Linked DNA regions of Neodiprion lecontei. The protein of the gene in region 1 purifies or fractionates together with the protein of each later gene. This does not show direct contact. Links are inferred from orthologs where the notes say so. Each region holds a gene or a part of one and is shown on either strand. Other genes may lie near its edges.

Region 1 (15,199 bases):
CAAGCCTCTGGTACGAAAAATGATAGTGTAACAAAATTGATCCTGTCTCGTATCACGCGAAACGAGAGATCAAGTGACCCCCGAGAGATTTTTCTGTATTATATTTTTTAATATTTATAATTTCTCGGCTATACCGAGAAAATGCAGCATCGCTGGCAACAATTGAACAAGTACGTACACGTACAATACAGGTGCCCGTAGAGCCGAGCGCAATCGTCGTGTGTCTTCCCTGATCGGTACATCAAAATTATTAATTAATATTACAACTGTATAGGTATACGATGTTAAGGGACCTTCTGGGTTGGAGTTGTCACGGCCGACTAACAGGACTATAATATACGATATTATCAACTCGGTCTTCTCTTCTCCTCGTTGTTCTCGTATACACAGTCAGAAGAATGTAGATGCGACAGTTGTTATTTAATGTTAATTTCATCCGTTTATTAAGTATTCAGGTGTTCCAACAGAGGTGCTCATCGTTGTGTCAATAGAAATTAGTACCATTATACCGATATTATTCTTATAATAATATACACACCCCATCCACACGTGTATCCGTAAATATGTGTATCTATGCGCCCGCGCATACGTGTAAGAGGTGATCTGCTGTGTTGGAAGGGGGATTACATATTGTATAGATACCCATACCTACATTTCACCATTGAATAACCCGAGGGAGTGGCAATTTAAAAGAGTGCAGCAGCTTAGGAAGCGTCGAATTAGGAACGGCCGAGGTCGGGAAGACGTTTTGAAAGCACCCTAATCCTCCCCTACCATGCCCGCCACTCCGCCGATCCCGTTCACCGGTATGAGAAATATGTTTCTATAATGTGAATACACGGTTAAATGCACGTATTTCCTATCCAACCTCTATAATTGTACTTGCGGGCATTGATACAAATTAGAAAGTGTAATACCAGTTCGGGGAATGCTATAATAATAAACGTCGAGAATATTGCAGGTGGGTGTTCAAGAAAAAAAAAAAAAAAAGAAATATCACCCAACTCGCGACGAACTTTATCTTTTAGCGTCAGATAAGAATGATACAGATATTTCAGTTTAGCTATAGGTTCTGCAAATGCATACGTCATGCTCAAATAGTTGCAAAAATTACGTGGGCCATGAGTTGGGTTTCTGAAAGTTATATACGGAGATAAAAAATATGTTGTATCGTGATTGTTGTAGGTCTCAGACGTCAAATAGTACTGCAAATTGCAAATAATTATTTCAGGTATCGCCAGCACGAGAAGTCCTTAGGGAAAAAGTACCTACAACAATGATGTCATCACGAGCGTAACGCACTGGATATATTTAGAATCGGTAGCCATTCAAAGTTGCCGTAGATGTCCAAACAAACCGCCGATCGGGTTACCGGGATTTAAAGAAGTTTTAAACGCACGATGTAAGAATTGATATTGCGTTGATATATGAAAAATTTACCTCACTTTATTCCCATGTGTTCATTCACCTCAAACAATACAATTAGTAGTATTTCTACGGGTATGGTGTAGTAATATGTATCGTACCGACATGATAACCAACGTGACTGTAACGCGTGGCATATAATGGAAAATAGATACATACATCTATGTGTATGCTTGTGGAGACGGATGGATGAATAGATATGCCAATGAATATAGAAAGAATAAAATAGCTAATGTTATCGATTACAACAGCTACCATATAGGCTTATCTTACGCAATGTTAGGCACAACGTCCAACGCTGATCATTGGGAATATCCGAACCTAGGATACAATTGACAAATATCCACTGTCATGTTGCCGCTGTAGGTTTATTTTCCCCATACAAATGCACGATATGAAACGTAGGTGGTCAACTGGTAAGAATTATCTGATTTCGAGATACGATAAGTTGAAAATCAGATTGTGCGTGAGAGTTTCCGATACGTAAAGACCGCGTAACTTACATTACGATAATCGTCACTTTGTTACGCCCATCACTACAGAATCCCTACAAAAACAGGAGTAGTAGTAGTAGTAGTAGTGGTAGTAGTAGTAGTAGTAGTGGTAGTAGTAGTGGTAGTAGTAGTAGTAGTAGTAGTAGTAGTAGTAGTAGTAGTAGTAGTAGTAGTAGTAGTAGTAGTAGTAGTAGTAGTAGTAGTAGTAGTAGTAGTAGTAGTAACAATAATAATGATGACGATGATGATGATGATGATGATGATGATGATGATGACGATGACGATAATAGTAACAACACTAGCAATAACAACAGTAAAAATGACAACAGCTTGTAAATGAGAGATAATGACGGAATGTTCATAGTGTGCATCTAATATGATATATTCGGTACGTTAAGTTTTAATTCTCTGAGTTGGCGCACCCGAGCGTCTGATGACGCATGAGTGATATTGCGCCACAAATACGACAATTCAAGTTTGCTATTATCCTTACATGTTGGCAGCGGACAGTTGTGCCTTGCATGAGCTTTGAGCCATTGAGCATTTGAAATGTGGTTGGGAATGTAAGGTCCCAGTATAATTAATTCGTCGCGTATTTCGATGCACGAGAAAATCTTTCAGTTCATTGGTATGAGATAGCTTGAACTCATTCTGTACACGGGATATTCAAAGTTCAGTGAAAGCGTTATAGGAGCATATATAACACCAAATTTCGTGATTACACCAGGAATTACGAGAATAGTCGTAGCGCACTGTTGGTAGTAACATTACTTTTTCATATACTAATTCTACTAATATTATGGTTACTAATTATTCACACTGCTGTTGCTGCTGCTGCTACTAATTCTGCCCCCATTGGAAAAAAAAAAAATAAAAAAAAATAAAAAACAAACGAAACCCATCTTTATTAGTGAAAAAGTATCATTCTAAAATTAAAAATGAAGACAGTGATTATTGTGGTGTAGCTAGATGTTATGAAATATTGATTGAATGTCGAAAACCACTAAGCCGGTACCAACGAACACGAACTCCCAGTCGTAGCGCGATCAGAAATTTGGTACCGCTCAGCATCATGTGTAGTATAACGTCAACCTCGTTTAACGTCTGATAACATGCATCCGCGCCGATCCTAGAATTTTGTCACAGTTCCCAGTTTCTTCAGATTATCACTGTTTCCATTGGTTGAACACTGGTAAATACCTACCCGTTCTACGACAGAGTTCTCGGATCGTACACACAGGGATTGAGGGCGCGGAATCAGTGTATTAGCGAAGCTAGCGATACAATTCCGACAGTGAAGATGGAACAAGAGATACCAATCTTTTGGTATGCCGTTATTAGATCTATAAGAAGGCGATTTCTTATCGGCGTTGCCTGACGGCGACATTTTTCGGACGAATTGAATTCGGCGTTTCGGTACACCAGTTTGCAGTCGTTAGTATACTTTCACTAGTGCAGATCTGTATACAAACGTTGCCATTTAAACGATAATCACACAGCAAAATGTCGCTAGAAGACCCGGATATTGTTATTATTACCTCAAAGGGCTTGAAGAGTGACACAGACGGCCGTTTGTCACCCTGCGGTATCATTCGCTTCGTGATGACAGGGTAGGAGCAGTCGGTGGTTTGACCGTTTGTTCATAAGGTTTCGTATCGTTGCCTTAGTTGTTTCGACCGGTGACTGGCGCGGGCTGAGGTGACTGTTTTTGAGCGTTACTCGGATTTTCTGTTGCCCCTTGATGGGGATGCGTTGTTGATTGCTTCGTAAATGCCGGTTGTGGAGTCGGCCTTACTCTTGCCTGCTGACCTACGTTTGGATTTTGTGCGGTACCAGGTTTCACACGTTCCCTATTTTCACTCCCTCCTTCCACTGACACTTTGGACACATTGGGTGAGGGTTGTGCAGGCTGAGGCGCAGGAACTACCTTCACTGATTCGGGCCTCATTTCCTTCCCTGCACTCGTTGGGTTCGATGTCGCTTTTTGTTGCTGCTGTTGTTCTTGCCGCTTCGTTGGAGTAACAGTGACAGGCTGCTGTTGCCGGGGTGGCGAAACTGTAGATATGGGCTGCTGTTGACGAGTTGGCGTATCTGTAGTAACAGCCTGCTGTTGCTGATTTGTCGGAGAAACAGTCACAGGCTTCTGCTGCTGGGTTGGCGGGTTGACGTTAACCTGTTGTTGGGTAGGTACCTGCGTTGGTTTTCTTCTAGACGGTGCTGGTTTTGGCTTTGGTGTTCCACTCGCGACAGGCGCAGCAGCTGAACCGGTCAGCTTAGAATCTCCGATAGATTTTGGTGGAGTTTTCGCGTCTTGCCGTTCGACTACGTTATCGGCAACATTGTTTAATTCACTTTTCATAGCTGGAAATGCCCGTTTCAATGGCACCCTGGCCAGATATTCGTTGTATGGTGAACCAAGATATAAATAATCTTTTAATATGTATGCTGAACTTATTCCGCTGATTTTGCCATCGCTAGTGTATAAAACGTCTGTGATCTTACCATCAAAGCCGATTCTGAGCACAACAACGCTTTCATGCTGTAGAAATTTAACACTTTCAAAATGGCCGATCCAATGTACAGCTCTCTTAGTATAACAATTTGGATAAGCGTCCTCGACAAGCTTGAACGGGGCTTCTAGTAAGTAGAGGATCCGAGCTAGCATTTTTCTGATATACGGATGGGGTGCTAAGGATTGGACGAGGATGGGATGATCAGCATCAGCAGTAACTATCAGGCTGACCAAAAATCCATCCCCTCCGTCCGTATGGATGTTGTCTGGCAAACCAGGAAGGCCTTGTATAAAGATTTCCGCAGTGCCAGCCTTATCTCCTTTGAGATGAAATTTTGACAGGCGAGATGTCATTGTCTCAGCTACCACTACAAAGCTCTCATCCTTACTCAGCTTGACTCCATTAGCAAAGCCAAGGTTTGCGACCAGTACAGTATTCCGCTCGGTCGATGAATCATACTTGATTAACCTGAAAAAAAAGAATATTCGCCAGCTGTTGGTATTCTACAAGCAGGGTAAACCAATGTTCTTAAACATAACTGGGCATAATCGTCGTTGTTCTGTATTTAATTCTGCTTTAGTACAATCGACAAAGCTCGATAATTCGATTGACAACAAGATGAAACTTGTGTATATTAAAATTGTTACCTGCCAGCTGGATTTGCCAGACATGTGTAAACACCGTCCTGAAGGATAAAATCTTGGGACGAGTCGGTCCAGTATATGTCTCCATTTGCGGCAATGTCCAAGCTATTGGCGAGGAGGGGTAACTTACCCTCTATCGGCTTTGAAATATCAACGATCATATCATACTCTCCTGTCATGACATCTACCTTAAAGATACCGTTATAAGGATCGGCAACGTACAATATTCCGTTTTTGTCAAATTGTAAACCTAAGGGTCGACCACATTCTTTTTCCATCCAGACTCCATCTATCAGACAGAGAGGTACCAAATTTGATTCCAAGTTTCAAGTATTTTAAGATTGGAAAAATAATGCATAATATTAAGGTCAGGTTGGAGCAATATTTCAAGTAATTAATTAAGGAACGGAAATTTTTCAGGGAGAGACTCACCGCACGGTCTACCAAACTTGGCGATAGGTACAATATGATGCCCTATAATCTTAACAATGTCGCCTCCATGCAAGGTGGTGAACAATTCCCCGTTACGTGAGGTAAAAGATTCAGGGCCCTTTAGTTTCCCTTCAAACAGAATTTCGGCATCATCCAGTCTGTTGTTCAATTTCAGGGCATCTGTTAGGAACTGCTGCGGTGGCGATATACTGCAAAGGGACGACAAGTTGTAACAGAGACCGAGTGGCATATTCCTCATAAACTTTAGTCTTACTTTTGATTCATTGGGGATGTACAATTTTTTGTAGTCAAGTAATGTTTCTCTTCACAACGCATTTCAAGTAGTCAACTCAGCACAGTCAATTAATACGAAAATTACATAAAGCACAAAAACTGTTCGTTTCAGAAATACTGTGAGTGAAAATCTCATGAAATTCTACCATGTGGCACATAGAATTCAAAGCTCTTATAAAGAATAAGCTCTGATATGTGGGCTCTCAACGCAAGCGGTATGAATAATTGCATTTGAAGTAATGAAATCAGTACTTGAACCCATGAAACTTTGAGAAACAACTGTCGAGTATGTAGAACACAGGTTTAAAAGGATGTGTAATGTGACAAGCTTTTCGGTATGTCCAGAAATATTATTTCACGGCTTGAAGGACACGAATTGGAACTAGAAAACCTTTTGCTTCCTGGGCAACTGCTCTCACTACTGAGCTACTCGAGCTCCCGCTAAACACCGTTCCAAACTGCTACCCAAACAGCGAGACATGCCGCGTTACAACTCCCCCGCTCCTAGGGGCAATGTACCGATGAGAGAATACAAACTGCAAATCGCAAAATCTGCATCTCGCAGCCTCTACACTCTTCCGATGAGTTTGTTTTTGTTGAGAGCGAGAAATGCCACGTCACAGGGTAAATTCAAGAACAATTTTATGTTACGTTTTTTGCAAAGAGGATAAAAACATAAGTGATATGCAAGCTTGTCTATATTGCAGGGAATAACACGATTCATGGATCTCAAGCGTCTGAAAATAATATTTCTTACAATTAGTCTCCTTGCCCAGTATCAGAGTGAATTAGGTTAAAACAGCAGAAGCATTGTGAATCTTTGGTAAAGCTGACCCCAGACACAAATAGTAAGTACTAGCCCATAAGAGTTGGTGCAAAGAATCAATCACCTTCAGCAGCTTCAAGGAGTCCGCTTCACCAAACATTCACAATATTTAAGAAACAGTGACAAATCTATAGAAAGGATGCCGGGTGGAATGTGGTTAGCAATCTGCAATATAATCATCTCATTCAATTTTCCATTGTGTACCTACTTGTATTCAGCAAACTGTGCATCTGGTGGTAGGCCAGGTAGGAAAGTGATGAGCGCCAGAAATAATCCAATATAGATGAATGTGGTGCCTATAGACTTTAGGTAACCCATTGTCGTAACCTGGGATAAAACAAAACGCATGTATCAGAAATGTTATGCTGCTAATGTAACATAGTGCAATACATTTAAGAAATAGTACAGATCTGAAATAACTCAGCGGATGTTTCAATAATAAGATGTATCCCGTGTATATCCCTTGTAACAGATCCTTATATGGCATGCTGTCAATGCATGCATCAACATACGCACAACTCTTACCACTGAACATTTGCCCACAATCGCACAGGTGTTGGCACCAGACGGTGGCCATAGGGCTTGGAAGGGTCTCTTACTAGACATTCACCATATAAAGCAAGCTAAAGTCACTGAAATTGTGTCTACTATAACCTGGCATACAAAAACATTATATTTCCACTGTAGCGAATGAGAATTACTGATAGCGCTTTCCACAAATATTGAGGAGTAACTGATTTTCTTTTATCTATCGCACTTCTTCTTCTTGCGAATAGTCTACACTTTCAGTTGGAGTAAGTGAAAGCTGCTGGGAGCTACTTGAAGGATCATAATTGATCGTAGATAAAGTATGCAATACAACAGCAATAAGACGTGTTTAAAAAATGCGTATCACGCGATAATGAATTTGGATTGAAATACTCACCTTAGATATGCCTAGAAAAAAGACGATGAACTATGTCGCACAACGATTATAACATAATGAATGCTTTCAGGTAATCAAAGGAATTATGTATACTTCTTGTCGAATTCCAATAGAGCGGGTTGAAGAAATTCTCTGGGTACTGTTGTTTTTATAATGATGTATAAAATAATTTGTAAAACAAATTATCAAAATGAGCGCGAAATAACAGAACACCCGACAGGGGTAATAAGTTTGTTCGTATGAAATGTGAATATTTAGCTGACCCAAGCAGGTATACCTAAGATATCGCCGGATACTTCCAACTTGCCGCGTCACGCACGGCAACATAACGGTCACAGGTAAAAAAAAAAAAAAAAAAAAAACAATCAAGCATAATTGTGTTGCTACGCGTACAGCGACAATTTTTATATAGTTGAAATTAAGTTGGAACCTAAATGCGATTTTGGAGCAAGATATTTCTAAGAAAACGGCATTATCGTGGATTCGGTAGAAACACCGAGGGTCAAGTATAAAAATTATTACCAGTCTCAGAACGGTGCTAAGGATGTACGATGAGTGATTTTTCACGTTCACAGTTGATCACGAATGACGGTTAACGACTGTTGAATTTTTGGGTTCGTTGACTTGGCCAATCCTATCCTCTTTGGATTTCGCTGGACTTTGCCCACACATCACCACAGGTCGACAACACCGCAGGTATGGAAGATATAACTTCAATGGAATACATCCTAGGTAGATGTACCGTAAACCTCAAGAGCATTCGTTGGAAACTGTATTTCAGTCGTTGAAAACCGGTGTCAAAATGAACGAAGCCACCTGACTGGCCATCTGACTGAAGAGAATGAGGGAAGGAGAGAAAGAGAGAGAGAGAGAGAGAGAGAGAGAGAGGGAGAGAGAGAGAGGAGAAAACGAGAATGAGGAAGCAAGAGAGCTGATACAACTGGCGAGAAAGGGAGATCACTAGAGTCTTTCTGGTAGTATCTGGCAAGCGCGACTCCATGATGCGGCAAAGTAGCGCGCATTTTGAAAATATACTGCGCGTACGCGCAGGAATTCACCATTGGTAAGTTTACCAACTCTCGAAAGTTTGTAGTAAAAACGGGTTAAACGATTCCGAAACTCCATAGAAACTCCACGTATTATTCGGATTATTTCGAGTGAGTGCGAACGGTGCACTTAGCCAATTCTCGATGGGTGAACAACTGTGATGGGGACGCTTCTGTTGCAGGAAGAGAGAGCACATTGTCTAACTACGTTCCTCTCCCTCGCCCTCATTGGGGGACATTATCGGGCGTTGCGGCACTCTTTCAGCGCCGATGCATTCTCCATGTGCATACATATTATTATTTCATTCCTCGCTATTATCATAGCGAATAAAAGTTGTATCAGTATAAGACATCTATTCGAATGTGTGCGTTGTGTGATGAACACTGATTTGTTACGTATTGGCGTCATATTGGACCGACGACTGATTTCGGACTGATTTACGATTTACGAAGCCGTAGATAACCCATACACGACCTAGGTACACGACTGGTCGAAGTAATTGACGAAAATGCTGGGGCGAAAAAAAATCGAGGAGTTAGAAGTGTGTGTGAAACTGGACGAACCTTTAACTAGTGACTCGTGTTGCAAATTAATTTTGGAGCTGGTCAAATATCTGTTGTATCAAAAGCAACAGATTCCGGTGAGCTACGAGTATTTACTGCGACTGGGAGCTTCGTCGGTAGGAGTCAACGACAGGAGTTTGGCAACGGCGAGAGCAACATTGAGTTGCCTGGAGAATATTTCGGAACATTTAAATACCGAATTATGTTGCGAGAGTTCAGCGGTAAAGGAAATCTTTATATCAATGGGCGCGACAATACTTGCTCCAAAATTCTGCCTTCGAGTGAGCCTTCCCCCAGAAATACTCAGTGGACAGTGCCATTTCAAGCAGCAGCATTCCCCTCGTAAGCCACTGTTGAACCTCATGAGGTACGACACTGCGATCCCCCTTCTTATCTATCACCTGCTTATGGTCTATCTTTCATGTTATTATTTTTCCCAGATCCATAACGGAGAGCGTAGATTTTCAAGAAGCTATGGCGTTGCCTTTGATGCCCACGAATACGTTTTTCCTCTTGCAAAAGAGAGATTGCAACAAGGTGTCGGAATTCTTTGTGCCTAAACCACGTTACGCGATAACTAATGCGACGGCAGGAAGTCGTTTACACCTAAAGCTGTCCCATAAAAGTCATGAAATGTGGAATTGCAATTGCAAGAATACAGTAAGCGTATATCGAGATCGAGATGCTTCGTATTCGGAATTGGCACCTAGTCAGAACACAGCCGGACACCGCAGTACTGAAAAAATATTTGAAGGAGGCCAAGACAGTATTTACCAATGGTATCAGTCCAGAGACATTATCAAAGGCTTCAAGTTTTCTCGGTGATGCAATCATTGTTTTTTGTTCACCCTTCTGGCAAAACTTTATTGTTTATTATATCATCCAGGCTGATAAATGATTAGCTGATTATTTAGTTCGTATAATTGATGAAATGGTTATAACCTTGAGCATCAGATGTCGATTTTTATGGACAATCGCTGAGCACTTTCTCAGTTGTGTAATGTTTTATATCTATTAAGCCATTTATGTAAATACGCAATTGAATATGTCCAGTCTTGCTGCAAATGAATTTGAAAAGCCAATCGAAAACACGAAATTCAACAGCCATGTTTGCGGCCTGACCCCAGGTAAAACAGTAAACACTGACTGAGCAAAATGGAATAACCATTCAGTTCTGTGAATCGATCAAGCTTTTACTTTGTATAGATTGAACAATTATTAACTTCGTTCGGAAGATTGCTTGAAATTGAAGGATTTTCGTTGTCACGAGGCAAGATGGTACGTTACGTAAAACGTTGTGTCGAAATTTTCCATTACATGCATTCAACGTCAGTAAATTATAATTTACGATCTTGACGTCCGCAGCATCTATCAGAGATGTGCCGTTCAATACCATCTACCAAAATGTATTTGGTCTTGAAGGGGTCAAGGGCCGTACCGCTGATAGGCTTGTTTCGCTTGATAACCCTCTTAACTTGGCGCTACGGTGTTCAGGTCACTGACTATTGGATCATCTCGGTTATTGCATCAGCCGTTTGGCAAGTGGCATCTACTTGAATTGACCAAGCTTTGCGCGTGGCCCGCTCGCTTACAACCTATTACAAATTACACATACCGACAGGTTTACGGTTTTGCTTCCTGTGTATTCGCGAAACGACGTTTATAAGAAATGATAATTTTTTCCATCAAAGCTAGTACGTAACTAGGGAAAAGAACCAAAGAAATCATCACGATGAGACGCAACAAGGCCTATCTCTCCCGTCCGGTCAAATGTCTGCTTGTCAAACTGGCTGTTTACGTAAGCAGCACAGCTGAATTGAGAGATAACAATATTGCACAACTGTGCGAAAAATGTTTCTTGCGTTATATAAAAAATTGATATGTAAGCTTGACTATCACTGGGCATTGGCAAATGCGGTTTCAAAAACAAGTAAGGAAAAACGAGGAATTGAATATAGAGAGAGGGACTGACAATGGTAGAAGCAGTGGGGTGATATGCGTTAAAGTAACGGCCCAGCTAGTAGAAATCCTCAGTTCGAATCCTGTTGCTGCAAACTGTGCTGGTCGTCAGTTCGTTACGCAATGGGTGTTTTAAAATATCTGAAGCCTGAGGACAAGGAGTTTTATGAGAAAAATGGATTCATCAAGCTGAGTGGAATATTCAGCGAGGCCGAGATGGAAGAGATTTCTCAAGAATACAACGAGCTTTTCGAGCGCAAGACCAGAGAGAATCTGGAGGGACTGGAATCCGCATGGAGCGGGGATAGGGTGAAGCAAGAGGCTGGGTTTATTGATTATACGGTTTGTACATCATAACGTTTTTGCTTAGCCTTAATTTTCCGAGCACTTGTATTATCTACGTGTATCTCTCCGGTGCTCCACTTTTAACGATCGAGTAATTCTATGTTTCAATGGGCTTGCTAACAGGTGAAGGCGATCCACAACTTACAAATGCACAGTTCCGTTTTCACCAGAGTGATAATGAATTCAAAGTTGCTAGATGCCATGGAAGATGTGCTGGGTACTCCAGATGTCTTGTTGCATCACACCAAGGCGCACATAAAGCCCCCTGAGAATGGAGCACCTTATCTGATGCATCAAGACTATCCCTACTTTCCCTTCAAAAATCACACCATGGTAGCTGTATTTTTACACCTGGATGATACGACTCCGGAGAATGGAGGCTTAGCAGTTTATCCAGGAAGTCATAAACTTGGACCTCTGGCTGACAAAGGTATAACGGATGAGCAGGGTGAACAATATCACTGGGTAGATCAAAACAAATGGCCATTGAAGGGTGCGACCCCTATCTCGGCGAAGAAGGGGGAAGTAATCGTTTTCTCTTACCTCCTCCTTCACGGATCATATTTGAATCTCTCCGACCGTGCTCGAAGGATGTTCCTTTTACAACTCAGAGCCGCAGATGATGAACCTACGAGAGCATGTCATCAATCACCGGCACAAAATCTTGTCCTGCGTGGTAGGAATGTACATCGCAGCGCAAACATGGCCACGCGATTCGCTGACTAATTCACGAACTTTTATATTTATTCGCTTTTCTGTACCGCCAATATCTTGCTCATTTTTTGCCTGTCTATGTGATTGGTATAACTGGATTGTTTTTCGCAACAGTTGTATGTAATCTATGTAACATGTGTACGCCATGTGCGTGTAGTGTTGATAATTTTAAATAAAATACCCGAGGCCTTGGCAGCAAGAAACATCAAACGTCTCCATGCCGTTCCCAGTGTTCTCAATCTGTCATTGCTTGTACGCCGACTGATAATAGCAGTTTTATATGCACACAATTGTACGCATCATATGTTAAAGTAAGTAATTGTGCAAGAATATCTGCTTGAGAAAGCACAACAAACTCTGCCTGAGTTTTACTATATACCAGCGCCAACCACTCCCGCATGATTATTACAACTAATTAGTATGGATGAATATAGGTCATACAACTCTTATCCTTTCACGTTATCATTGGCAATTTCACCTTTTCCATTATACTTTCCCAATTACTCTTCGGTCTGTTACGTATGAAATATTCTCAGATTTTTTGAGGTATTGTGAAATCTTGAAAAATTTTTGCTGATCGAGGCAGGTGTTGAAAAAATTTACGAAATCTCGGGAGGTCCTGAACGATATTGTGGGGCGATGTTGCAAGGAAATATTGAAAGATTTATTTGAAAAAATGCTACGGCGTGGACTGCGTTATCATTGATGTATCGTTTGATGTAGGTATTGATGTAAACAATTTCACCTCGTATGCAAAGAATAGGATTTATTCGTTGTAAGAATGGATTAAACCGAGGAGTGCTAGAAACACCGGTTAAAGTTTTAACGCGCACTACCAAAGTTCATGATTCTTCGAATCTGTAGCGAAGAGATTCATCTCGATGTTCTTCGTCTTCTGTTTCGAGGGCATATACAGAGGTTTTCATCAACCTGAAGTCGGTGACATTTACAACTCGTAGTACCAGAAGTGTAAGTCCCATGACCCAGGCAGCAACTTCCACCCAAGATGAGATCTTTTGTATTGCGGTGAGACGAAGCGCAAGTTTCAATATTTTAAACTAGTAATCTCGCAAAATTTGTAATCGAGAATCATACTCAAGGATGGCCGATATTACCCATAAATTTTGTTTAAATAAATTCTTTGGATAAAATCAGCGTCACGTAAGGATGTCAATTTGGAGTGTGATAGAATTGTCATCGTGCCATACCTTTGTGATTCCATAATATTTCCACACAAGTCTATTGTAGGTGTTTTTTTTGCTTGTCGGCAGGTATTCCGTGATGGGTTCATTCCTTTGAGAGAACAAAAGACGCGTATGTTATACAGATGTTAGCGCCGGTAACATTGGCAAATAAGTATGAGGGAAAAAATCGACAAAAGAATACCCAGATTGATTTAGCATCCCATTGAGACGGTATTGAAAATGATGGAATCCCTCTTGGAAATTGCAGGCCGACCGCCAAGTTAGCAACGTCAGACATAAGTTGAAAAGTATAGCCGGTCCAACCAGTCTCCAGGGACTGTAGTATCTGGATGCGAAGATATATTGTTTAATCAATAATCGTTGCATTGTCTCTTGTATGCACACCTAACTCATTGTTGACAACTTACATTCCAACTTGGTAACCTCCGCGCCCACATATGGAAAAGAAAGAAAAGCCAACAATACCACAGATACACGAAAGAATCGATATTATCTGTATCGTAGAGCAATGATGTTGAGTGTTGTAACTGACTGTCAGCCTGTCTTGCCAAGGTTGTCCCATTGACGAGATCCTGTAATTAACGATACCTGCCACTGACACTTTACGATCTGGTTCCAACCCCGGCGTCGCCCACAATATGCAACGACGGTCAAATAAATCCTATTTTAATCAGACGGTTGGTTGTACTAAATATTAGGAATCCTGGCCGCTCGCTGCTATCAGCGCAACATGCTAGTTATAGGCGAGATAATTCCAACAAATATTTGTTTATTTACCTCAAATAAAAATCACAAATAAAATTACAACTCGAGATTTATGCCTTGAACTTACAGAGCTGAATTATACCTGAAACATAAAAAATGCGTGTGCGGTGACGTAGCCGGCTATTGCGCTAACACAGTAGAACAACATTTGTAGTAATTTCCATAGTATTGAAATGTCGTTGGCATCGCGTTCAATTAGCTCCTTGTGCTTCGTTAGGATCCGCATGTCCTAAGAATAATTGTCAATTTAATTTTTGCACGTCAATCATGTTGCCAATAGTCATAAGTCGTGCCTGGGATCATAGACATCGATTCCTACCCCGAAAATCCAACACGCCGGTCAGATCGTAAGCCGATGTCGAATTTCGAAATACTCCAGAGTATGAGACGCCGCGGCGGCTTGTTAATACCAATATCTATCATGTGACGTTTATAAGGTAAAACTCCTCCATTTCAATCACGATTACCGGGAATTTTTCTGGAATCTATCACGTGATCACGACATTCAATTGTCAATCTACGCAGGGTAGAGAGATGTCGATCGTTTCAGGTTTCAGGTGATAGCCGTGATAGGCGTGGACGATGAGCTGAACCCATAAAAACACAGTGATAAACGTACGGTGAACATTATACGTGCACATCTGCCTATGTACGTACGTACGTAGGCATGCGGGGGTACATCGGTCAATCAAGCGGTGGTTGATCGTTTGACCGTTGTTCGGCGATTGGCGAGGCTGCAAAGGCGGCTGATTTTGTCCTTTGATATCACGGACGACGAGCGCGCTGAAACTTAGAGGTCTTCTTTTGATAACAAAGTTCCGTAACCCAATCTTCCCGTATCCATGTCATATCCATATCCGTCGACCGTGTCGTGAGTGCAGTGTCAACGCGTAGCCCTGTTTCGATTAATATGAAACGAAAGTGCCGACAGCTTGCATTGGTCGGAAACTGTAGGACTGCAACCGTAAAAGTAATCGCAAAGTTTACAGACTGTTCAAGATTAATGAACCTGCCGAGAATAATTGGTATACTACGCTAACAGTGCGGT
Region 2 (16,287 bases), on another chromosome or scaffold:
TGCGCCGATCGTACCGGCTACACAGGTTTGTGAAGGCCGAAGCTGGTATGAAAATCACAAATTTTTTTAGACATTCAAGCAGAGATGAATAGGCAAACGGGGTAGGACTGATAAAGACTATCTAGAATGAGTACGAAGATCCCAAATATCAATAAGTGAGAGAATCCGATGATAATTCGGAATTATAATGAAAACTACCTCGTCTCTGCTCGTCTCTCGGCGTTGATTGAAAAAACGCTCGTAGAATGTAGTCACTTGTAGTCGAAGAATTCGATACACCGTATCTCGTTTCGCATGTTCGATTTTCGATGCATCGCTACTGTCGTAGTCTGCTTAATTTAAGAGTCTCAATCACGTCAACGTCAAACGCACAAACGTGATGTAAACAATTTCCGTCGTGATATCTCGATGGGTTTTATTACCACAAATTACATACCGGTGATCAACATTCCAGTGATTTTTCATCATCATTCACTTCTCATGATAACTGAATTGTTTATTATATCCCACATCGATCGAATGAATCATAACCTCAAAATATTCGTCGGATCTTAGCTATAGCATAAACCCTAATTATAGATTGACCTAAACTCGTAAAAACAATTTTAAACCAACCGTCAGAATCTTTACTTGAAATAGCATCGAATGTTCAGACTGTTATACAATAATCTTCTGTTCTGTACGTAGACAATTAAAAATGAAGAATTGCTGATTTGAAGAATGATCTCACTCTGCCAATCAGATGACATGCAATGCAATGTAGTAATTACACGGAGTTCCTAAAATGCATTTGCTACTGAAGTAATAGCAATTAGCAAAAAAGTGACAAGTTTTAAAAGAGCAAGAAAAAACTTTCTCCGAAAGATCTACACCTTCTCGTGTCAGTATGGCTGTTTTACACAGAGCATTGTTCACGTGGTTCAATCTATTGATATTCCTAATACTCTTGGTGTTGAGACTGGATCTTAGAATACAATGGAATTGGTTTATAGTTTTCATACCAATGTGGCTGTACGACAACATTCTATTAATCTATATAATATTTCGCATGATATCGCACTGCAAGAACGGACATGATCACATCAGCAGTCTACGTCGTAAAGTAATAAGAATAATCCTTGTTAAGATACATGCTTATACAATACATATTCAGACTCATCTTACCAACAACTAATCAGCTTCAATTTTTTAGGCATGGTACATGACTGCTGTTCTGACTAAGCTGTCCGGTCAAGGTCTTCTCTGTCTTAAATTGGAAGCAACGCAATTGACATTACCAGCCAAAGTTGTACTCGCCCCCTTGTGGGTTTTACTCCTAACACTAGGGTGCGATGTCTTTATCCATCTCATTCAACACTCTCGATACTAACTGTCCAATAATGTACATTATCACACGGCCAAAGATCCACAGTGAAAAAATTCACGTCTCCCTGGTTTTTGGTTGTGAATAACACATTGCATCATTATTTCTCCACATATGTTATGAATAAATTATTTTTCACCTAAATACCCAGTTATTTTTTCTTTCAACTGAAAGAACCTGTCCCAAAATTGTATAAATAGGCGGAAACAATAAATAGAAACATACTTGGTTCAAACAAAAATGTGAAAATCTTTTTACATAAGACATTTTAGCTGTTCTACGTTAGAAATTTGTTATCAATTTATTGTCTATTCAATGGCAACTTCGAAACATTATATATTCGAATTAGCGTATTTTTTTTTAAAGAACCTTCCATAACTAGAGACAAGGAATGCTAAAATGGATGAAGCAAAATGGTCACAAGACAGATACTAAAAATAATCTAGTAGATCCAAGGATGAATAGGACGGAGATATAAATAAATATATCGAGTAGTTCTTAGTTGTCTAAGCAGCCAGTAAACGCACAGGTAGAGCTCATTATCTAAGATTTTACTGTGCATTGCAGCTTAGCAACTGAAAACAGAGTAACCTTCCTAGGCTTGACTCTGGTACAAAAATTTCGGAACTACAAAGAAAAGTCGAAAAGTGAGAACTAATTTGATTTTCTTATTAACCACAATGTGCTAAACAAATATACGGTGTTGAAAAATTATATTTGCACATGCTTGTGATAACAAAAACTAATGTATTTTGTTGAAAAATAACTAGAATCGCAAATTTTGTGAAATTCTCAAACCAGCAACGTTTAAAAAAGTAATCATTTTTGAAAAGTGTACGAGATTTATAAATCGTTTAAAAATATTGTTCTGTACAATTATGCGTAGATGATTACATGGGTACTGGTGATAGCTCTCATAACGAGCGTAACATGGGTTATTGAAGCTGTGATTGTGAAAGAAGTTAGTGCTGGCCATTTAGCCGAATTGCCATGCCCAAGTATCGACGACAATCATCGTTTCATGTATTGGGAGCTCTCTAATAAAAATAATATCATAGGTCCAGGAAACCCACAGAACCCAGAAAAATACAACTACCAAGTACTAACTGGGAAGCTCATGATTAGGGTAATATAATTTCCCCAAATATTTAGATAGAGCTCTGTTAGGATAATTCAACTTGGGTAGTTTTTTGTCACCAGGGTGTTTCGACTGCTGAATCTGGTTTCTATAAATGTATCTCGAGAGGTATAAATGATGAATCTGTCATCAGCATGGAAACGGTTGAGCTGATAGTTACAAGAGACTGGGAAGATGTCTGGGAGAATGACTTTGAGGCAAGATTTTTAGCTTAGTTTTTGCTTTCGTGATATTTTTTAGACTGTAATGTAAGACAGTTGAAAGAAGTAAATGCCATTTTTCTATTTTAGACAAACTTATTGAGAAGCTTGGCCGCTGTTATGGTAATAGTTGTAATCATCGCCTTGCTACTGTACGTAATTACGACCAAACGACGTAGAAATCTTAAATATTTTGGTGAGACGCTTCAACTATTATACCATATCCAAATACAAGTGGTGATCAGTCAAATCAATTATCACATATGACATAAAATATCAACATCGAGCGTGCTTTACTACACGAACTTCGTTCAATCAATTTCAGATATGGAACCATCAAGGGAAAACTCACCAGTCAATTATAGAGATGGAACACGTAGGTCTGCAGGAGTAGTTCGCAATAACACGCCACCTCCAGAAGAAATAGGCATTGAGAATGCAGCAGTGGATGTTGATTTCCCAAAAGTATTTAGTAAGATGCATCAGGAGCAGGCTGTTGAGATTCCATAATTTTTCATCAAAAGTTAGTAATACTTACAAACGCTGTTGGAGCCTAATAATTTGTGAACCAATACAGAAATACAGTTTATAAAAAATGAATATCGAGTGGTCACAATGTATTGCGCAATAAATATAAATGGTCAAGGACATTATGTGACAAGGTATGACATTATATCTACAAATGTGAATGTGATAAGCATAATTTTCATAACAATAGAATAATTAACTTTGTTAAGAACAAACTAGTTGTACCAAATCTATACTAAGCAATTATAGCAATTGAATAGATTGATATACATGTAGAACAATGAGATTTAAGATGCACAACTAATGAATAAAAACTACTTACATTTGCTCAAAGAATCTCACTGTGGAGCTGTGTTTGTACTAGCACCAGCAGTGGTATCCATTACGCTATCATCTGCCTCTTCTGCTTGATCTTCATCATCTTCATCGTCATCTTCTTCCTCAACTTCTATTTCCAGTATACGAATTTTACGGTTGCTCTCACTAAGAATTGCAGCCACTTTCCGGGCTCCACTTACAGCCAAACGACTCGCCGCTATTCCTTGAACAGGTTTTGGCCAAGTTCCACCAGAAAGTTCAACCACTTCACTAATACCCATATTCTCTCTAGTATCAAATGTGAAAACATGGCCAAGAGGCAGCTGCACGAAATACGACGAATGTATGTGATGATCCAGAATGAGCAGACTTAAATAATCTTGCGAATAAAATTGCAAGTCTCCTATCAAACTACTACTGCTAGCAGAGATATCTTTTGTATCGCAACCTGTAAAAAGTTACATAACATGATAGTACAACCATGATTTGAATGTTGTAACGATGATTTAATTTTTATTTGCTTCGTCTACCTTGTCGTCGATCCGCGTCAATGCTTGCACTTTTGACTGTTAAAGAGTTTTCAGTACCCGGATTTTGGACGACCTTAAACATCTGTAAAGTTTTTCCATTCAGGTCTGAGAAAGCAAGCAGTAAATCCTTCTCAGATGTGACAAACTGTGAATGCAACGATGAGTAAGAAATGGTCGACACAGCTGGTAAGCTCACGACTGTAGGAATGAAGAGATTCACTAGCCCCTGGTAAGCCTGACCAAACACGACGCTTATCGCGTCAACCAATTTCGCATTAGATTGTAGCAAGGACAGCGACAGGTCTTGCCTAACCAATAGCGGATGGTTTTGTAAACAGACATTCTCGCTGAGCATAGCAGCCCATTCACTACCATCGGGGGTTAAGCATGTCCGAAGAGGTTCTTTTCGTAAGTACTGACCGAGTTTTTCAAGATTTACACCTTTCCTAGCACCTTCTTTATCTCCAACTTGATCAAACCCACGTAAAAATTCAGCTATAAAAGTCAAGTCCTGTTGACTAACTCTGCTGACTTCAGGTGGCGCCCGTTCGCCAGTCAATTTGAGTATAACAACATATAGCCATCTGAAAAGCACAACAATTCTGTAACAAATAAACGATTCGTAAATTTTTTTCTACCCACCGAAAAAATGCTTTGTAATCACGCATACTATGATCGATGACTTGTTGTATTTCAGATGCTTTGGCAAGAAAAGCTTCCGATGCCCGAAGAGCCTCGTCAATTACACTTTCGGAAGTAAATCCCAGGGCTTCGTATTGTCCACCAAGTTTGGCCATTCCAGTCATTTCAGCCAGCTGGTATGTCAGTGCCATTCCGACGCTGCTAAGATGCTTTAGGACTAATTTCTGCACAAAAAGATTGAGAACTAATTAGAATATCTTTAGTTATTCCCAAGAAGTAAACGAACCTGAATATTACTGTAGCACATTTCAATGCTATGTCCTAATTTCTTCAACCCTTTTTCAGTCAGGTCTCTCAAGAGGAAATTTTCCAAATTCGCAGAGGGAATGCCGATCATAAGAAGGTCCAAAAAATCTGCAGCCACTGCTCCAGGAGGGTTGGCCTCAGCGTAACGAGACAATTTCTCATCCATTTCCAAGAGAATTGTTTCCCATGCTTCGGAAATAGCCATCAGCGTACGATCGAGGTAGTCCATCAGATATTCAATATTAGCTTGAGCTTGCGCTACCTTTTAGAAACAGACGCAACTTTCAGCACTGCCACCTTAATTTTAAGGCTACAAAAAAGTATAGATGAAGTGAAACTCACTTTTAAAAATGCTCCATTACTTTCCAAAAGTGGACAACACAGATGAACAACACTAATGTTTTCCAAGGATCGCAGACTGACCCAAATTGGCCCCCCTGAACCACCGTTGATTTCCTGTACGGAACCTGGCCCTATGCTTAATGTACCACAATTAAACATCCCAAAGACATACATAGCAACAGTGCCTGCTTCAGTTCCAAGCTGTAAAAAATTGAGCACATTGTAAATTACATTGCATTTTATCCTCGACTATTGTCTATTTATGATTCATACGTGTGAATAAATGAGTAATTAAAATGAGACATAACAAAGAGAAATGAATTTGTAAGAAATTTTAATCTTCTATGTATTTTAGCATTCATTTCTTGACACACTTACAAATAACATGTCCAAGGTTTGGGATAAGCTTTCCTTGTGCTCAGGCTCATGCCCAAAACTTCTGTTCAAGCTCGGCAAAGGTGGAAGATATTCTCCAGTTGACGAGGAACAAGTTTTGATTCCAGTTCCGCATTTTTCAGCCTCTTGAATGCCCAATGGTAGCCAGGACAAAGTTGTAACAATTGCCTGTGAACTTTGTTGAGTTTTATGAAGGATATTCTTGTTTTCAACATCAACAAGATGTATGAGATTTGATTCTTTATAAACAACAGCAATGAGCTTTCCGTTTGGTCTCCAAGTCAGATCCTGAACCAAATCTGTTGCTTCAGGCGGGGGTAAAAGCCAGACACGCTGCCACGTGAGCCTATGAAGTGCTATTTCCCCTGAAAAATGCGAATCATCGAAAGTAAGGATAACGATACTCTCTCTCATTTATTGTCGGCGTTTTACCACTTCATAAACAACGCATATCGTACTAACCTCTCATGTTAGCTATAGCCAACAGATCCATTTTTGGTGACCATCGCATCAAAGTCAACTCCACCGACAATTGTCGCTCCTCCAGTTGTCTTATAGCACACGACATATTTTCTTATTTTTAAACGATATATTATACGAGTTCGATTATTATAAGATCCGTCAGTTGGACCGGCCGCTTAGTGCAGTTTTGCAAGCAAACTTGTATGTAGTGTTGCCAAGTGCAGAGTAAACGATCTCGCTATCTCAGAATCAAAACCTCTAGAAATCCCTAGATGTTACAAACGCATAAGGCCCTAGTGAGCTCTATCTCTGTCAGTTCAGCTATGCCGGTCAGGATTACCGTTGGGTTTACCATGGATTTAGCCAATGGCGGCGTTTCGTCGGCATTAATGTAAAGCTGGCAAAACGGCCTGTGCTTCTCGCAGGGCTGCTCGTATACGTGTGAATGTGTGTTTGAATTGTTTGAAAATAACTATAAACATATTTATCCGTATAGGATAGTTGAAACACGTAAGTTACGGTAGCATTTGACGATTTTTCTACGAAGCTACAGAACTGAGTCAGTGTTGATACAGCATCTGAATCGACCCTCAAGAGGTTACCTTTTCGTAAACAACCCCTGAAACTTTTCAGAATTCCAAATCATGGGTGACGACGATCCAACCTGTGTTGTCAAAATGATCAAGGATCTGCGATCAGGTTCTGGAGGCTATCAACGCAATAGCCTAACGTCTTCCGGGTTACGGTTGTCCTCGGCGTCTTACATTCCCTCTTCTTCTATCATCAGTGACATCGATAATGATGATAGCAAACGTACCCCAAAACGACCTAGACTAGATGAAACGAATACCAGTCTTAACAGATCTAGTCTGGATGGCGCACCTGGAAGTCCATGGGAATGGAGAAGGTTGAGGGGAGAGGTAATTGTTGCAAAAAAATGTTACTTGAAAACTAAAGGAATGCGTTAAATATCGATGACTTTTGTCATACGAAGCATTTCCCTTTGCACAAGCTTACCACTCGTATACTTATGTAGGTAATTTCGTTGCGAACAAGACTGTCGCACCAAGAGGCCACAGTGGATCAGCTCCATGGTGTTAGAAGGCAAATGGAACAAGTCTTTGACAAGCAAAAAAAATTGTTTGAAATGCAGGCTGAACAAGATAAACAGTCAATAAAACTGCTAGAAGCTAGATTGGACATGGCTCGGCAAACAACACAAGAAGCTATAGAGGCCCAGACTAATGCTGAAAGAGAGACTGCCCTGGTAATGTGAAAACTTTGAAAATTTTCACGTAACTTCTAATACACTGTTTGTTCGTGGTTTATTTTCTGCAAGAATTTCGAAGAATGGAGAATAAAGAAACAGAAATAATGTTGCAATATATTACATGCTTTTACAATTTTGCTTTACTATGTTTTTGCTTAGGTGAAGATGAAACTAGATCAGAAAACCCTTGCATTGATGAATGACAATGCAAGACTTCAGGATGAAACTAGACAAGCCAACAGCCAGCATCGGCAGCAAATCCCACCAAGTGATTGTAATGAGGATGTAACAGAAATAACACAGAAACTCGAAGCTACTGAGAAGAGAATTCTACAACTAGAAGAGAGCCTCAGAGAGGCCAGAAGTGGCCAGCAGAAGAGTGAATTGCTGGAATTAGAAGTACAAAATTTGAAGATGAAAATTGAAAAGTTAGAATCTGAACGATCGCTATGTGAGGAGGGCAAAGCAATGGCGGCCAGAGCTGCACGTGCTAGTGATCTAGAGCGAGAACTTCATGCTGCCAATAAACAGGTTTCTACTTTGCGAGAATCGGTAAAAGGAAAGTTGCTACTCGAAGAACAAATCTGCAGCATGCAACAAAGGTAAGAAAAAAGTTTTCAAATAGCAATCTTGCCGATAAACTATGACAGGAGTTCATCAATCTAGATTTGTAAATAATGTGAACTTGCCATCAGGGTTCAGCATACAGAGAAGTTGGAGCTGCGAATTGCAAACCTCGAAGCACAGCGGGCGGAGCTACTGTCACAAATTAGGGAGTATGAGTCGATTGGTATTACTGGTGGACCACTAGCGCTAAAAAAAGAATTACAACGTTTGCAACAAACGGAACTGATCTTAACAGCCGAAGAAGGTCAATTAAAGTCAAAGATGGAATCTGCTCAGAGAGAATGTCAAAACCTTAGTAAAAAGTACGAGGAAGCTAAGACGATAGCAAACGATATGACAGGTGTCAGGGAAAAATTGAACAAATTGGTTAGCAGGCTACAAAAGAAAATGATGCTAGTTACCCGAGAACGAGACAGTTACAGACAGCAACTCGACTTGTACGAAAAGGAAATGACCGTTGATGGCCATAGTGTACTTACCGAACGAGTACCAGCTTTGGAACGAGCCATAGACGGATACAGGTAGATATGAAAACATTGTCCTCTCTCTACTTCACGTGTATTGATTTTTTATTTCTTTTTTTCTACACAAGAGAAAATTTCTAATATTATTTACATACCTTAATTGCGAAATACTATTCCACTTTCAGGGAGCTTGTCAGCAAATTAGAGTCAGATTTAGAAGCTGCCGATGATTGTGTGCAGAAGGGTCAGTGCCAAAAGTTACGAGAAGAGATCGAGAGACTCAAGGGTGAGCTAGAACACAGAGCTCTAAAAGGAGATTTCAATTGCAATGCAAGGATCCTTCACTTCAAGATGAATCCAGCCGCTCTAGCAGAGAGACAGGCGGACGAAAAGTACGAAGCTCTTCTACGAGAGGTCGAGGAACTCAGAGCTAGAACGGCCTCTGGCACTTTGAATCTGGGACCCGTAGGATCATCTGTTCAAGCTCAAGGTAAAGAATTCTTTACAAAAAAAGAGTAACAAAAATACATTCACCAATGCCTTGGCTCGAATATATCAATTGTTTGCTCATATCCAAACGGGTAATTCTCAATCGTTGTTACAGAAATTGCCGAGCTCAAGCAGACTCATGAGATCAAGATCACTCGCCTGAAAGAAGCATTCAAGGCGGCTTCGCAGGAGTACCGCCAGGCCTGCTATCAGCTTTTTGGATGGCGAGTCGACAGGACAAAGGAGGGACGGTACAAGCTATCGAGTCAGTACGCAGAGTCGCCGGACGACTTTCTATTCTTCCAAGTTGGCGAGGAAGGCGTTGATCTTTTGGAAACCGATTTTTCCGCAACTCTCGGTAGCCTCATAGAGTGTCACCTACAGAGACAGCACAGTGTCCCGATGTTTATAAATGCCGTTCAAACGGAACTTTTCTCTCAACAGACCGCTGCGACTGTGACAAGCTGAACTTATCCTTACATGAATATTACAATAACTGAAAATAAACCAATTCATTAAGAGCTGTCGATTGTTGCGATTTGAAAATGACGAGTCAACTCTTTAAATATGTAACTCGTACCCAGCTTTAAGCCCTTGTACGTACGACTAAATACTTTAACAAACTTTTAGTATGGTATAAAAGTATCGTGAAAATACATCTGAGATTCCATAATCGATATCTATAATTATGATTGATATTATTACTTTTCATATAAATCATATAATTACTTTTTGTTTAAAGCAAATGGATATTTAATTAGTAAATAATTTAGAGCTGAATTGCCATTCGCTTTTTATTTTTACAAATTTCGACACATTGTTCTGATTTGTGATCCGAATGATAAAGAACATTGTTTGCAGAACGGTTTGTTTTACACAGATTCATATTGCACGATTAACTTGCATTCAAATTAAAATTTTAAATGATTTGAATTAATTAGCTCCGTACAAATTAACAAATCCCAAGTCCAGTTGAGCGTTAAACGAGTCCAAAATTAAACGCACCTCAACAGCCGTGGAAAATAATCTCTGCAGTCACGCGGTATCTCCAATTAACTCCGAACGTGACGGTAAAGTATGGCAAACAACAACTAGGGTTGTATCTATTATATGTTTTACGGTTTCTATTCAGTTTTAACGTTTAATTTCAAAATTCTTGTATAAATCTTCAACTTTTAACCAACCGATTAAATCCCACGAGACGAATTTTTATTTTTTTTTCTATAAATCCCCAATAATATAACAACAGTAAAAACTGACGGAAAATAAAAGCATGAAACTCCGGACCGATAAATTGTTACGAAACATACGTAATTGATGAAAACTCGACTCGTCGCGTCGGAGGGGCAATATCAATCCGAACCCCATAACCGTCACGTAAGGTTCGTCCCATTCGATCCGACGATTAGTATAATACGTGGTAATTATCTCTAGACATAGGTGGAGAGAACCGGCCAAGATCTATGGGCACATAACAGTCTCGTAGTACTTGGGACAGGGTGATAATTTGTGCCGGGCGAAGAAGAAGTAGAGGTTCGTTGAGGAGAAGGAAGGGCGATTACGGAACCCCGGTTATATACACATGCCCATAATGTATATGGTACATAATACGGAGATACATAGCCGGGCACAGAGGTTCGCTCTATCGGTCGGCGGCGGCGAGCAGCACCCCCGCAGGACACGGGGTAAAATAAGGAAAGGCTGGTGCGGCCGCCCTCGGATCCGCTTCATTCGGGAGCTCCGAAGGGCTAAACTCCATTATCGCTAATTATAATCACGTTTAATCGCAAACTCGTCCTCTCTACCCTGCCCGGCGTCGCCCTCCTCTTCCACCCCCCATATTCGACGACCGCTTTCGTACACAGAGACGCAGGACGACGCGACGTGTATGTGCTCACCCCGAGACCTCGTGCCCGGCGTCGCTCAGTCCTGATTATCAATCTGGACTCTCTCGCCCTCCCTTCCTCTCTCGCTTACGCCCCGCTTTTCGCCCCTCGCTGAGCCTACGTCGAGGAGCCACTCGGCGTAGTTATATACTCCAGAGATACTCCAGGTGTCCGGCGCACGTAGAGACAGACGCAAAAGGGCTGCTGGGGCGGTGGAAAAAGGACTCGAAGAAAACGCGTTTATTTCTACCGTCTTCCGAGAGGCCCGCAAAGTACCTCGAGCTTTTGTGCGGTGTACGTATGCATGCGTGTACGTGTTCACGCGTGTTTGTGTGTGTGGCTTATACGTATACCTCTGCCTGTATGACACACACGATTGCCGTTCCACACTGGCGTGTATCGGTGTGCATGGAGAACGGACAATGGTTCGGGGGTTTCTCATACATCGTTTAAACTTATTCCCGTTCAACCCATCGTGCACCTTTCTACCTACAGCCAATTTCATATAATCTTCATACCTTTGCCCCGGCCCCAATTTGAGTCCGAATCAAATCTCCTCGCCCAGGATCGATATTCCGCAAATTATTGACGATCAACTGCAATGCGGTTTATACTTACCTTGACTTCTACACAGCTATATTTACACCAGCTAAACAACCGTCGCGTTTCAATGCACTTTACACGGCTTGACTCGTTCAGACATGCGTTTAATACATGCACGAGTACCCGCCGACAAAGGCAATTCGGTATAGGCATGTACTTGACAGGCGTTTTCCATGAAAGTTGACGAAGCAACGCCGGCGGATAGATAACCGAAACCACGTTTTTAAAATCAGTTACTTAATATCACTTCTGAGAACAATATCCGACGCGCACTCTTATCAGTCCGGTTACAGACGTAGAATGCAGCGCCGGCTGTCTATCCGAAAACGAAGACGATACAAAGATTATAAACGAGACTAGACGCGGCGAAAAGTAGTAATAGAACCGTTGTTCGTTACAACACGCGAGGAGCGTAGGGTCTGCGTCTTAAAACGAAGGGTACCGACATTCGAAATGCGCTAATTTACCCCCGGACGCAAGGGTGCGTGCACGATTATACGTGCCGCATGAAGCGTCTGAAAATCAGACCCCGGAGTGAGGGATTGGAGGATGATGAGGGTGGTTTTCGGGGGTGGCGGATCACCTGGCGAACTCGACGAGGGAGTCGCGTTGCCCCGTGGGGGTAATTGTCCGTTCCTAGGGTCCATTACGTCTAAGAGCTGGAGGGTGGCGATGCGTCCGTGACTGCGAACGGCGGAGGGGTGGGGGAGGCATCGGAAGGACGTGACGGGAAATAAGAGTGCGGGCGAGTGGCGGCCGGAAATTGCGCCCGGCGCGCGATGGTCTCGAACCCGTGGGAGGGGGGGGGGGGGGGGGGGGAGGGTCGAAGGTCGGGGGCGTTTGGGAAAACGAAGGTCTCGAGAGGAGGACCGAAAGGCTCAAAATCGCGGAGCCGACGTCGTCGTCGGTCCTGTCCTGCAGTGTCCGGTCGAACGGAACGTGGTGTATCTTGTCTGCACGGATCGACCCCCCGCCCCAAACCCGCGAATAAACGAACGCTGCAGAGCATCGTGAAGGGAAAATAAAACTGGAGGAGGAAAATGGGGAAACGTGGTGGTAGGTGTGTAAGAGAACGAAGCGACGGACGGACCTGTCTCCTCGAACTCTGCGGCAGTCTTCCTCGGACCTTGCGTGACTTCCTGGAGTTACGACGGGCGAAACACGTGCCTTAAGTCCGACCAGGCACTCCCTTGTTTTATACTGGCGTTATTATGGATATACCTGTCGGAATACCTAACTTTTGCTGTTTCTTACTGCTTTTCTTGTTCCTGATAAAAGTGGGAAAACTTACGAACGGCATTGTCACGCCACCGAACAGCGGGGGATACTGAAATCCCGTTTAGTTTTTTGTTTCTTAAGCGGCTGGATAGTTTGGTTTCTGTTTCTGTTAATTTCAAATTTTTCGAACCTGTTTTTGGATTCTTGTTGTTATTTGAGACCCTTTTTCATTTTCTAACCGTAACAGATGGTAGGAAATTAGAAATTTTATCCATGCTTAATGATGTACTCTTCCACTGTTGCATAACATATAACTATGCATAACCAAGATCTGCGAGAGCAAATGCAAAGGAAGGGCAAAAATTTTTTTTCAATCTTTCATGAAACTTTTCTGATTCTCTGTGCAGTAAAGATACCTTAGAGATGAAGAAAAATTTAGAGTTGAAGAGAAAAATGTTGAAGCGACGAACGGTGTAATATAAGGATAAATTAATACGTAATTACTCGAGAATAATACACCTGAAAGAGAATTAGTTGGAAGCAAAGCTGTCTAACATTTTTATCTACTGTATATTTAAGAACGACCAGACAGCGTTGTTGAGCTTTTCCTCCCCTCTGACCAAATTTGAACGAATAAATTTATTCAGCTTCCGCCCCCCTGGGTGACCGTAGATTTATGAGGGAGTTCGCAGGGGTGTTCGCGTGTCTAGAAAAAGTGAGCAGCTTTTCGAGCGGAAGGATCTGGACGTGTGTCAGACGCGGCGATGCGAACCGCGAGGTGTAGGCGGTAGGCATCCGAAACCCGAAGTGGTTAATCGCAAGTGTTGGCGGGATCGAATCGGGGAATAAGGGATGCGCGTCACGTGACGGTGGGCGTCGGGTTTGAAAAAGGCGCGGCTTTTTAAACTCGCCCCAGGGGGGAAAGCCGGATGAACGCTGATCACCGCGCGAGTTTCTCTCGTGTTTATCCCGAGTACAGGAGAAGCCTCTCGATATTCGCGGCAATTTCGCATCGCGGTCTCTGCCGGGGAGCTAAAAAGTTCCGTCGCTTCGGGGCGGGAGCCGGATATGATCTCGGGAGGAGCTACACGTGCAGCAAAGTCTCGCCGCACGCGAATGCGAGCGCCTTTATCTCTAACACGTGATCGGACGAAGGGCGAGATAGTTTCGGAATATCGTATTCCGAGGTTGCAGGTTCCCCGGGGAACGGCCCAACTATAAGAAATATACGTGCAGACGTTCACCGGCTCCGTATTAAACGAGGAAAATTTTCAGGGAGTTCGGTTGCAGTCGCCTGCATGCGGCGAAAGCAAATTTGGCCGGGTAATGCTCGAGGAAGAGTGCGCAGGGTGATACGTGCAATGTGAAAATACGCTAAAAGAGAGGATGGATCGAAGCGAGAGTGAAATTGTATACCCAGGTCTGTACGGTATTGTACAACGAAGAAGAAAGATTTAATTCAACGGGCCGGGCGAGTCGAGGACTGCGAATCCGACGATAATATTGTTTCACCGGTCGAAAGCTCCGCCGCCGTGCGCCGCTTGGTTCAGGAAGATTGAAAGACTCGCTGCGCGGACGTTTCGGTTGATCTTCAGAAGTAGCAAATTTAAGTGAAACAATGCGAGAGACAAAGCGGAGCCGAGGAGTAACTGAACCTGAGGAATTTCACCTTTTTCGACTGCACACACATACAGTGCAGACCCGTACCCGCGTCGTAATACATAAAGCACATAAAGCACGTAGCGAACAACGTCTTGAATATTTGAGCCCTCGAGGAGAGGAAAGATCCCCTTAAAAGCGCGCGTTTTATGAATAATTTAGCAGCACGGGGCCCGGTTCGCCGTCGATATACACTCTCTTTCTATAATTTTTCCCAGCTCTCTCTCTCTCTCCATCTCTCTCTTCGGCGCTACAGATACGGACGGGATCGTCGCGGAAATTGCGACGGTTTACGAACTTGAGCTTTCGATTAAAAACGCCCCGTCTTCGGTAAACATTTGGGGCCTGTTTCTAGACGGCTAAATTGGCAGCCGGGTTTACTTGGTCTGAAAAATTAATCAACCCGTTCTTCGGGGCGACGGGCCGCACGCCGTGGCAGGCGGGCATCGGCCCGGCGGTAAGCCTGTAAATTGTAACAAACGGGGCGCATCGTTTCACCGCATTAAAATTAATGACAGGGGCGTGACGGCGGGGGCGGACGCGAGCTTCGGGGAGCAATAACGCAAACAGACACGCGATAATCCGGCGACGAGCGCCCCTCGTTAGCGAGCCCTGCCACCCTCCTGCACCACCACCGGGAGCAACGGCAGCAACCCTCCTCCACCCCCGCCACGACGTCTTTCCATCCCTTCGTCACCTGCGAGCCGGGTATGATCTATACGCCGTATTACCCCGGTACATGCTTAACGCAATATTCTCTACTTGTTGTAAAAGCGTGTCAAGATATACGGTGCCCCGTATCTTGTAACATTAACGCGACAGCGTTGCGGAGAAAAATTTCGTTTCTTATACACCCGTGATGGAAAATGTTAGAAAATGCTGGCAGAACGGGTATACTTATCGTTGCGACAGCGTGTTAAGTAATATCGTTGATATTGGACGAAACTTTTTTTACACCCATAATTGTTTTGTGTAATTACGACGCCCCTCGTGCACAGTTTTAATAACAAAGAATACGGTAACATGTACTTGTTCTTCTGCATGGTTTCAGCTGAAAAAGAACAACTGATTTTCGTTATTTACAGAGAACTATGTTTTTCGTTTATGGCAAAGAATGAAAATAGTTAAGGACTGTATACTAATGATAGCTAGAAATTTAAGGTTCGAAGGGCTTTCAGCTGCATCTCTCTTATTATTATACTTAAAATATCACGTATTACGGATATCGTTATAGAATTATATCGAATAAAAATAAAACATCTCTCGAGCCATCCAGCTAGCATAGTGTTGCATTTCTATAATTAATTATAACCACCCGTTAATGAGAAAAATACATCTCGAGCATTCAGCGACACTCAGACTGTAATTAGATCATACGCTGTGAATTTATAACAAATCAAGTGATACTCGAATCCGTACAATTTTGAAGATAATTGAAATGCAATAATTTGACCCGCGCGAGATTGCAGAATCAGATATCGTACCTAATTACCGTGCAGTATAACATGAAACTTCGCGACCGAAAAATGTTTTGCCCCCCCCCCCCCCCCCCAACTTCTGGTGTTTCTCAAACAGAAATATAAAAAAAAAAATTCCACGTCTTGGCATACTGGTTTGAAATATTTCACACAAAAATCCCAAGAACCAACAATCTCTACAAACTCTGCAACGGAAACTTTGGTTTAAGAAAATTTTTTTCCAAATGCTCGAATTCTGCGAGTGGTTCTGTTTCCCGCGTATAAATTTTCTCCAAAAATAAATGCGCGCAGGTATAAAGGTGCTCCGTGTGAAAAAACAAAAAAAAAAACAAAAAAAAAAAAAAAAACCAACAAACCAACTCAACATA

What was found.
Region 2: the proteins of MAD2L1-binding protein (region 1) and mitotic spindle assembly checkpoint protein MAD1 purify together in Homo sapiens (co-immunoprecipitation; 4 studies listed by BioGRID and IntAct, with this or other methods). This does not show direct contact. The link is inferred for Neodiprion lecontei from reciprocal best matches to the Homo sapiens genes MAD2L1BP and MAD1L1.

What each region holds. Positions count from the first base shown.
Region 1 is NC_060266.1:92,650-107,848, forward strand, and holds MAD2L1-binding protein, read left to right. Parts: upstream 1-8,471; 5' UTR 8,472-8,616; intron 8,617-8,781; 5' UTR 8,782-9,108; coding exon 9,109-9,530; intron 9,531-9,603; coding exon 9,604-9,988; 3' UTR 9,989-10,252; downstream 10,253-15,199. Other genes in the region: adipocyte plasma membrane-associated protein, read right to left, coding at 3,583-4,900, 5,080-5,365, 5,509-5,717, 6,837-6,946; probable alpha-ketoglutarate-dependent hypophosphite dioxygenase, read left to right, coding at 11,246-11,464, 11,591-12,193; uncharacterized protein LOC107223528, read right to left, coding at 13,024-13,194, 13,390-13,474, 13,568-13,711, 13,794-14,047, 14,234-14,377. UniProt on the Homo sapiens protein: May function to silence the spindle checkpoint and allow mitosis to proceed through anaphase by binding MAD2L1 after it has become dissociated from the MAD2L1-CDC20 complex.
Region 2 is NC_060265.1:6,129,309-6,145,595, forward strand, and holds mitotic spindle assembly checkpoint protein MAD1, read left to right. Parts: upstream 1-6,555; 5' UTR 6,556-6,735; intron 6,736-6,858; 5' UTR 6,859-6,869; coding exon 6,870-7,145; intron 7,146-7,261; coding exon 7,262-7,492; intron 7,493-7,654; coding exon 7,655-8,097; intron 8,098-8,190; coding exon 8,191-8,643; intron 8,644-8,771; coding exon 8,772-9,076; intron 9,077-9,190; coding exon 9,191-9,543; 3' UTR 9,544-9,596; downstream 9,597-16,287. Other genes in the region: transmembrane protein 60, read left to right, coding at 887-1,102, 1,193-1,369; uncharacterized protein LOC107218520, read left to right, coding at 2,250-2,489, 2,564-2,698, 2,792-2,897, 3,027-3,211; uncharacterized protein LOC124295044, read left to right, coding at 4,248-4,263, 4,357-4,485, 4,775-4,895, 5,065-5,245, 5,398-5,466. UniProt on the Homo sapiens protein: Component of the spindle-assembly checkpoint that prevents the onset of anaphase until all chromosomes are properly aligned at the metaphase plate.